Linked DNA regions of Arabidopsis thaliana. The protein of the gene in region 1 interacts with the protein of each later gene in a biochemical or structural test. Each region holds a gene or a part of one and is shown on either strand. Other genes may lie near its edges.

What was found. Proteins that work in one complex are often made in the same cells at the same time.
Region 2: the proteins of CRY2 (region 1) and CIB1 form a complex in vitro, tested with the Arabidopsis thaliana proteins (one study listed by BioGRID).

What each region holds. Positions count from the first base shown.
Region 1 is NC_003070.9:1,184,991-1,190,321, reverse strand, and holds CRY2 (cryptochrome 2), read left to right. Parts: upstream 1-1,625; 5' UTR 1,626-2,135; intron 2,136-2,248; exon of another isoform or gene 2,249-2,315; 5' UTR 2,316-2,420; coding exon 2,421-2,733; intron 2,734-2,837; coding exon 2,838-3,062; intron 3,063-3,157; coding exon 3,158-3,870; intron 3,871-4,015; coding exon 4,016-4,603; 3' UTR 4,604-4,810; downstream 4,811-5,331. Other genes in the region: c-NAD-MDH1 (Lactate/malate dehydrogenase family protein), read left to right, coding at 15-292, 382-517, 610-721, 810-904.
Region 2 is NC_003075.7:16,496,588-16,500,711, reverse strand, and holds CIB1 (cryptochrome-interacting basic-helix-loop-helix 1), read right to left. Parts: upstream 2,322-4,124; 5' UTR 2,247-2,321; coding exon 1,944-2,246; intron 1,841-1,943; coding exon 1,580-1,840; intron 1,493-1,579; coding exon 1,358-1,492; intron 1,265-1,357; coding exon 1,193-1,264; intron 1,099-1,192; coding exon 928-1,098; intron 832-927; coding exon 766-831; 3' UTR 538-765; downstream 1-537. Other genes in the region: AT4G34540 (NmrA-like negative transcriptional regulator family protein), read right to left, coding at 30-206. UniProt on the Arabidopsis thaliana protein: Transcription factor that binds DNA to G box 5'-CACGTG-3' and, to a lower extent, to E-box 5'-CANNTG-3' in vitro. Binds to chromatin DNA of the FT gene and promotes its expression, and thus triggers flowering in response to blue light.

The DNA of each region.
Region 1 (5,331 bases):
CTTTTTTTTTTCAGGTTCTTGTTGTGGCCAACCCGGCAAACACCAACGCATTGATCCTCAAGGAATTTGCACCATCAATCCCTGAAAAGAACATCTCTTGTTTGACAAGGCTTGACCACAACAGGGCTTTGGGACAGATCTCTGAGAGGTTGAGCGTGCCAGTGTCTGATGTTAAGAACGTGATCATCTGGGGAAACCACTCATCCTCACAGTACCCAGATGTCAACCATGCTAAAGTGCAGACCTCGTCTGGAGAGAAGCCTGTCCGTGAGCTCGTCAAGGACGATGCATGGTATGTATAACATGCCATAGAACTTAAGACCCTTTCTCTTCTCTGGAAGCAAAATCTAGTTTCACTTAAATATATTGCTCATTCTGTAGGTTGGACGGAGAATTTATCTCTACAGTTCAACAACGTGGAGCTGCAATCATCAAGGCGAGGAAGTTGTCTAGTGCGCTCTCTGCTGCTAGCTCTGCTTGTGACCACATCCGTGACTGGGTCCTTGGAACTCCAGAGGTTCATAATAAAACTCTTCCCCGTTATTTGCAGTGCTGTTTTTTTGTAACAGTTAATCTAATATGAGTTCTTTCTTTGATTCAAATTGTCAGGGTACGTTCGTTTCCATGGGAGTATACTCCGATGGCTCTTACAGCGTTCCATCAGGACTTATCTACTCCTTCCCTGTAACTTGTCGCAATGGAGACTGGAGTATTGTCCAAGGTAAATATGACGCACTTACAAACTCAAATGCTCATCAATTATGAAATCCTAGATTCTGCAGACCCTAATGTGTATTTTGTTTGGTTAGGCCTTCCGATTGATGAAGTATCAAGGAAGAAGATGGATTTGACTGCAGAGGAGCTCAAGGAAGAGAAGGACTTGGCGTACTCATGCCTCTCTTAAACCCTTCTGGAGCAAAATTTTCATCTATAAGGTGTGAGATCAGTTAAAGCCTTTCAGGGCTTTGTCCGAATAAGAAGTGTGTTTGAAAGATCTCCAAACACTGTTTTATAACCTCTTTGGTCTCTTTGATGAGTATTGTCCCTGGTCTGTTTCTAAACCAGGATATCGTTTTTTTCAATGTGTCTGATTTGGTTTACCCATGAAAAGAAGAAAATTGGCAGTTGCATGGTTATCTTTTGCGATTATTTTTTTCTGCTTTAGCAATTAGCCCAAAATTGATGAGCTCTTCGATAATGGGTTTGTGCAATTGTGATTTGTGAGGAATGGTGTTATTGTGTTGCAATTGCAAAAAGAAATGCTACTCTTGCAGATTCATACCAAAACCAAATCACTAGATTAAACTGAAATTCTAATGTGGATTATTTTAATTTTACTTCTATTTTTCTTCACCCAAATATTTTATAACCAAACACCAAGTTGACACCAAAATATACATCCAAAAAACTTAGATTGCTTCTATTTTACGACTATCCGAAATCGAATCATAAACCGTAGGCAATGGTCCATTAATAAGGGGTATACGAGGATTCAAAGTTTGAGAGAACTTTTTTATCTTTACCTTTTTCCTTTTGTAAAGTAAAAGCAGTGGATTTTGATTATAGATTCTACTTGGTAATGACTAATGAGAATCAAGTTCTCACCTTTAAGCCATATAGACTTTAGATATTTAATGGATTCTACAAAAGTGGGCATGACCAGAATCGAGTTCATGAACCACCGTCCTCGGCCCCAACGTTAAAAAACTTTTTTCTCTAGCATAAGAAGATAAGAGTATCTTCACTGCGCTTTAGGCCCACTCAACATTCAAACAAAATTCGATCTCTTATAAAAAAATATCTCACAAGAGAAAGTTCGTACATGATCCCGATAAAATCGTAGATGAGCAAATCAAAGATGAGATGTCGGTAAAAAAAACGCTATTATAAGAACACACGCCACTAGTTGTGGATAAAGTTGTCTACTTTTGTCTCGTTGTGATTATTATATTGCACAATTATTAACATTCATACTCTCATATGGGTATTGTTTTTGGTCTCCGTTAGATCTCAAATCTTTAACTTTGCATACCCAAAATAGGAAGAAAGAAGAGTCAAGTCACTAAAATAACTTTCACAGTCTTTGATTCGAAGATCTTTGTCGCCGAGAGATATCCACTCTGATTTGAGTTCTGGTAAAAAGTTTCCAGCTTTTGATTTTTGTTTCTCTCAATTGAATTTCTCTTGCTTGCTCTGTTTAAAAGGATTAGGATTAAATCGAATCTCTCTCTGTTATGTTTTTTTGTAGATTATTTTGGATTTTAGGACTCAAAGATTACAGATTTCTTATCAATCATTCTCTGTTATTGTTATAGAACTATTCTCTGGAGGAGGTTGAGGTCTGAAATCATGGAACAACTTGGTTAGAGTGTGGAATTTTAGCTGATTTGATCTTTGATTCATCTGTGATCATAATAACTATGAAGATGGACAAAAAGACTATAGTTTGGTTTAGAAGAGACCTAAGGATTGAGGATAATCCTGCATTAGCAGCAGCTGCTCACGAAGGATCTGTTTTTCCTGTCTTCATTTGGTGTCCTGAAGAAGAAGGACAGTTTTATCCTGGAAGAGCTTCAAGATGGTGGATGAAACAATCACTTGCTCACTTATCTCAATCCTTGAAGGCTCTTGGATCTGACCTCACTTTAATCAAAACCCACAACACGATTTCAGCGATCTTGGATTGTATCCGCGTTACCGGTGCTACAAAAGTCGTCTTTAACCACCTCTATGGTATATACTCTTTCATCTCTTATTCAAAGGATATATATTCTTATTAAGTTAGTGTAGTCTAAGTGCAACTGAGGTTGATGCGATCACGTTTTTCTTTGTTGTAGATCCTGTTTCGTTAGTTCGGGACCATACCGTAAAGGAGAAGCTGGTGGAACGTGGGATCTCTGTGCAAAGCTACAATGGAGATCTATTGTATGAACCGTGGGAGATATACTGCGAAAAGGGCAAACCTTTTACGAGTTTCAATTCTTACTGGAAGAAATGCTTAGATATGTCGATTGAATCCGTTATGCTTCCTCCTCCTTGGCGGTTGATGCCAATAACTGCAGGTAAAACCTTAAAGAGTATTACTTAAAAGCTAAAACGTTTTTGATTTCTTCAGGACATAAGCGGTAGTAAAAGTTTATGGCTTTTTCTTTGTTAGCGGCTGAAGCGATTTGGGCGTGTTCGATTGAAGAACTAGGGCTGGAGAATGAGGCCGAGAAACCGAGCAATGCGTTGTTAACTAGAGCTTGGTCTCCAGGATGGAGCAATGCTGATAAGTTACTAAATGAGTTCATCGAGAAGCAGTTGATAGATTATGCAAAGAACAGCAAGAAAGTTGTTGGGAATTCTACTTCACTACTTTCTCCGTATCTCCATTTCGGGGAAATAAGCGTCAGACACGTTTTCCAGTGTGCCCGGATGAAACAAATTATATGGGCAAGAGATAAGAACAGTGAAGGAGAAGAAAGTGCAGATCTTTTTCTTAGGGGAATCGGTTTAAGAGAGTATTCTCGGTATATATGTTTCAACTTCCCGTTTACTCACGAGCAATCGTTGTTGAGTCATCTTCGGTTTTTCCCTTGGGATGCTGATGTTGATAAGTTCAAGGCCTGGAGACAAGGCAGGACCGGTTATCCGTTGGTGGATGCCGGAATGAGAGAGCTTTGGGCTACCGGATGGATGCATAACAGAATAAGAGTGATTGTTTCAAGCTTTGCTGTGAAGTTTCTTCTCCTTCCATGGAAATGGGGAATGAAGTATTTCTGGGATACACTTTTGGATGCTGATTTGGAATGTGACATCCTTGGCTGGCAGTATATCTCTGGGAGTATCCCCGATGGCCACGAGCTTGATCGCTTGGACAATCCCGCGGTAAACTACAAAACTTGTCTTATAGTTTAGAATTCAAAGCTTAATACCAGTTTTTGCTATGCATTCGTTTTTTATTTTATTTTTCAGCTTATTTGGTTTGGTTGATTTAGTTCTGAAGTCTATGAAAACTCTGTTTTTATTTCAGTTACAAGGCGCCAAATATGACCCAGAAGGTGAGTACATAAGGCAATGGCTTCCCGAGCTTGCGAGATTGCCAACTGAATGGATCCATCATCCATGGGACGCTCCTTTAACCGTACTCAAAGCTTCTGGTGTGGAACTCGGAACAAACTATGCGAAACCCATTGTAGACATCGACACAGCTCGTGAGCTACTAGCTAAAGCTATTTCAAGAACCCGTGAAGCACAGATCATGATCGGAGCAGCACCTGATGAGATTGTAGCAGATAGCTTCGAGGCCTTAGGGGCTAATACCATTAAAGAACCTGGTCTTTGCCCATCTGTGTCTTCTAATGACCAACAAGTACCTTCGGCTGTTCGTTACAACGGGTCAAAGAGAGTGAAACCTGAGGAAGAAGAAGAGAGAGACATGAAGAAATCTAGGGGATTCGATGAAAGGGAGTTGTTTTCGACTGCTGAATCTTCTTCTTCTTCGAGTGTGTTTTTCGTTTCGCAGTCTTGCTCGTTGGCATCAGAAGGGAAGAATCTGGAAGGTATTCAAGATTCATCTGATCAGATTACTACAAGTTTGGGAAAAAATGGTTGCAAATGATCAAAATAATGTGCTGTTATAAAGCCTAACATGTAGATGTGTGAATGTGTCTTTTAACTCTTTGTTTCCTTTTGGTTATACTCAAAAGGATATGATTGCATAAACATATAATGCTGATATTATTTCAATTGGCTATGAATAAAATATACATATTTGTTTAGTCTTTGAATTTGTTTCATCTGAGTTGTTTAGTTTGAGGAAAAAGATAACGGCCAATTTATATTTCTTTATAAAGAAAAGAAAGGAAATCTCGATACACGACGTTTTTATATGAAACAAATGCAGTTGGAAATAAAAGTAACAAATCATTGGTCTAAAAACCCCAATGAAAAATAGTAACTAAATGACTGAATACTACGGTAAGATTTTTTTAATTTCTATAAAAATATAAGATTTTTTTTGATGATTAAAATATTTTTTTATAATCAATTACAAATAATTATCATATCTTGAAAACAACAAGAATTTTTTTGATATAATAAAAATATTAAATTAAATTACAAAAATAAACGATACTAGAATTATATTTCATTGAAATTTCTTATATATATATATAGCTGATATTTTAATACAATTATTAATTTATGATATTGATGGGACTATATGTTTACATAGGATTTTCAAAAAAAAAATATTTTATTAATTTATCGATTTGTATCGCTTTTTACACTAGTCCCAAATACTGAAAGAATTTATTATTTTATAAAAATGATTAATTTATCGAATAT
Region 2 (4,124 bases), on another chromosome or scaffold:
AATTACAGAGATATTGCAAAGAGAGAGACTTTGAGGAGGGTAACGCCGGCGTCGGAGAGAGATTTCAGCTTATCGGAGAGAGTGGTGTTTCTGATGAGAGCGAAAGTCGGGTGACCCGATTCGATGCTGAAACGGGTCAAATAGTTCCCTAATCTTCCTGTTGCTCCGATGATCAAAACTCTGCTCTTCTTCTTCTCCTCCTCCATTTATATATACTCTCCGTATAGAGAATTAGGATAGTTTAGTTCCAATGGGTTGGTCATAGGTTTTAATCTCTGACTCAGTTCTCTTACATTGTCGTCGTTTTGTCCGCCACGCTTAACAGGTGTTGTTTATTCAATTGCTTTAAATTTGGGATTAGTCCCGCTTTTTCAAAGTAACCAAAACATAGATTAGAAGATTGTTAGTGATAAGATGTAAAACATAACGTTAAACGACTGGTGTCTTGTTTCTTGATTTCATGGTCGCATGACTTGTGGCATTGTATACTAAAAAAAAAAATACTAATGGATGATCATTCACCACAAGAAGATGAGAACACACCTTGAATTAAAGACACAAGTCCACCGATAAGAAATATATTACTGGACTGGTTTGCAAATTATACACAATAATGTCTACACTCTTTGATACATCAACTAATGGGCGGGGGATCTCAAGTCAATAATCTAGTGGAATTAGTAAATAACAGCTACTGGTTTGCTCTCTCTTCCGATGAATAATTTGAATTAGGGAACATTGTTATGTTGTGGATTGGTTTCTTAATCAAACTCCTAAATTGCCATAGAGATTCTGCACATGAGAGTCCCACATCGAAGGAGCTTCGCCATTCTGTAACAATCAAAACATATTTAGTAAAAAATTATCATATCCAAAGTTAAACTAAAGGATAGATCATAATGAAAGAGTATTAAAAATATGACTTACGTTGAAGCATGACAATGGATCAGAACTGGTATTCACTTGCTGCATTGGATTGACATGAAGGTAACCGGAGTTAACCATCTCACTAGAATAACCAGAGTGAACCATCTCATGAGAATAACCGGAAAGAACCATTTCAGGAGATGGCACCACAGTCATTGGAGTTGAGGCAACCTGGTTTTGAATCCACATGGCGTATTTTAGCTCATCTATAAATAGCCTTTAAAGTTTTGTTTTTCATATAAGCATAAACAAATCAATGACTAACCTCTTTGGCAAAAATGTCATCCATATCAAAATCCGGCCTTGGATTCACAATTGCTAGTTTCATCGATAAGAACTGTTTTAAACAATATTTTGATAACAAATTAGGAAGGTAATGCAAAATTAGTCTTTAAAACATATTTTCTATAAATGGAAATAATTTTCAGACCTCGATTTGTCTCTGAAGAGACTGAACATAGTTAATGATTTCATCAAGCATCCCTGCTTTGCCTGTGATCTTGTCGCATCCAGGAACCAAATCTTGTAGAAACTTCATTCTCTCACTGATCTTTTCTCTTCTAACCTTCACAAATTTAATACTTTAATAATTAGTCTCAATGATTACACAAAAAACAAAGTTAATGAATTTTAGTTAATGAGGCTCTCTTACTCGTTCTGCTATGCTGTGACTATCAGTGGCTTGGCCTCGTCGTGCACGAACATGAATATAATCCGTTTTCTCCAATTCCTTCGTCACTTTAGATGAATCATTAGAGAAATTGTTCTCTTCTTTCTTGGCTTTGTGTTTCATCTTCTTGATGCTTTTTGTGCTCCCATTGTTTTGCTCTGTTATTTTCGACTTCTCTTCTTCTCCTTCTTCTACTAGGTCATCTCTGTTCATCGTCATCTTCTTCTTCTTCTCATTACAATCCTAAAAGCACACACAGAAGAAACAGATAAGCCAAATCTCAAAGTAAGATCTGTTTTCTTTTTCATTTATAGAACTTAAACTTAAGTTTTCTTTACACACGAACCTTAGTCTCTGTATCAAACTTCCGTTTCTTGAAATTTCCAGTCCCAAGCGTCGTTTCCGGCGAAATTGAGAGTCTTGAATCACCTTCCACCGTCGTCTCACCGTACATCATCGGAAGATTCAAACCGGCAGTCGAAAGATAGCTGTCCATCTCGCCGCCGGTAATCATTGAAGAATCGGCAAAGAAGCCGGCGAGAGGAGAATCAAAGGTGGGATTGAGGTACTTGAGGTGAGCCCTTTGGCGCTCTAGGACCGACATGTCAGGAAAATTGAGCAAAAGGTCACCTCCTATAGCTCCATTCATCGTTATCGTCTTCTTTGGATTCAGAAAACAAGTTGCTTGCAACGAGAGAGAGAGAGAGTGGAGAAAGAAACAGAGTAAAGGTGAGGGTAGAAGAGGAAACGATATTTATAACAAAAACCATCAGCTCTGTACTTAGTCCATATTCATCGCATCTAATAAGGTAGGCCCATATACAAATCTGGAAACTTTATATGTTTTGTGATAATTGATATTTGCGATGATTGAAAATTGAGAAAATAACTAAAAATAGTGAGTGACACAGAAAACTTATAAAACATTTATTACGTAATATATGCATGTATTATAGTGTAAATTGGATCTTGATTCACTAAGAAAGGATAAGCTTGGGATGTCTATGCGAATTGGAGCGTCTCTTCTTTAGGTTTCTTTCATTATAGGAGCACGTGAATGGTCACGTGGGAATGGTCTAGTTGTAACACAATGAAAAATAATTTTGTAGTTTACAAGCTAGTTATGATTATATGAATCAGATTGGTGTGTGCGCTAGATATTTCACCTAATTAAAATGGGGTTACAAAGAAAACACTTTACCTCATTTCAATAGCTCTGGTCTTAGTTTAGCTACGAAGCACTGTTCACATGAATTTATTACATCCTTCGGAATCTTGTTATTCAGATCGATCATCATCATGTGTCTGATCGCCATGCTGTATACATTGGCTTACTCTATCGTGATAGGCTAATACTGAGACGGCGCAAGAGAGGCTGCCACGTGATCGCCATGCTCTTTTTCGATGCAGAAGGCCCATCACATGAATTACTCACAAGTTAGTTTTAGTCTTAGATCACTTTCACCGATTTCGGTGAGCAAATATTTCGAAGAAAAGGACCTTCCATTAAAGTATATATGACATTGTTTTAGATTCTCAAATATTTTCATTTATCCGACTTTTTATGTTATTGGAAAACGCTTTATGTGATTGATATAGGGACATGAAATCTTCTCGATTCTATAATGAAAACCCAACTCTCTTTTATTTTGCTTAGTCCAGTTATATATTAACCTTTAAAGCAGATACATGGAGTTAGTAGATAAGGAAAGGGGAGGGTGTAAAGTTGTTAGAAACAAAGACATGGTCGTTGCCTTTTGATGTGATGAATTTGGACTAAGTCCATAGAAGATGATGATCAGCTATTTCCCTCCCTATCATACTATACATGCATACACTAAAAAAAGTAAAGCCACACACCTAATTTGTGGGTTCCCCATCACCTTGTACATATATGTTCATAAATTCATGTCGACATGTATGTAGATGTTGACATTTGATTCGGTGTGTTGTATTGGAGATAGTTATATTATTTATACAAAAGTATTTAAATACATCTATCCAATTTCTTTCCTTAAACTGGAGAATTGATCTGTGCACGTATATTTATCTATGTTTAATTAAGTGTTGTTACTAACTTACTAAAAGATATCTATATCAATTTGTATATGGGAGAGTTCTTAATTAGAATTAGAAATTGCTGTAAAAAAAATTAGAATTAGAAACATATCATCGACGTAGAAATTTCTGATGGAACAATAATGAGGGGAGATCCAATGGTCATGACTCATGAATCATGATCACATGATGGGAGCCTAATTCCTATATGATGGGTTATTCTCGATATATGCATGGGAATTAGACGTATAAATAAGAGGACTTTTTTTTTTTTTTTTTTTTTGGGTTTTAAAATAAAGAAGAGTTGTGAATTTTATAAACTTTCATATAACTTGCATGTATTTTAAAGGTATACAACTTTCCTAAGAAGTCTTTTTCGTCAAAAGAAGAATTGTTTTTTTTTCTTAACATCCAAGAAGTATTTATATTTTTTATGGTTACTAGTTATTGTTATAAAAATGATTTAATG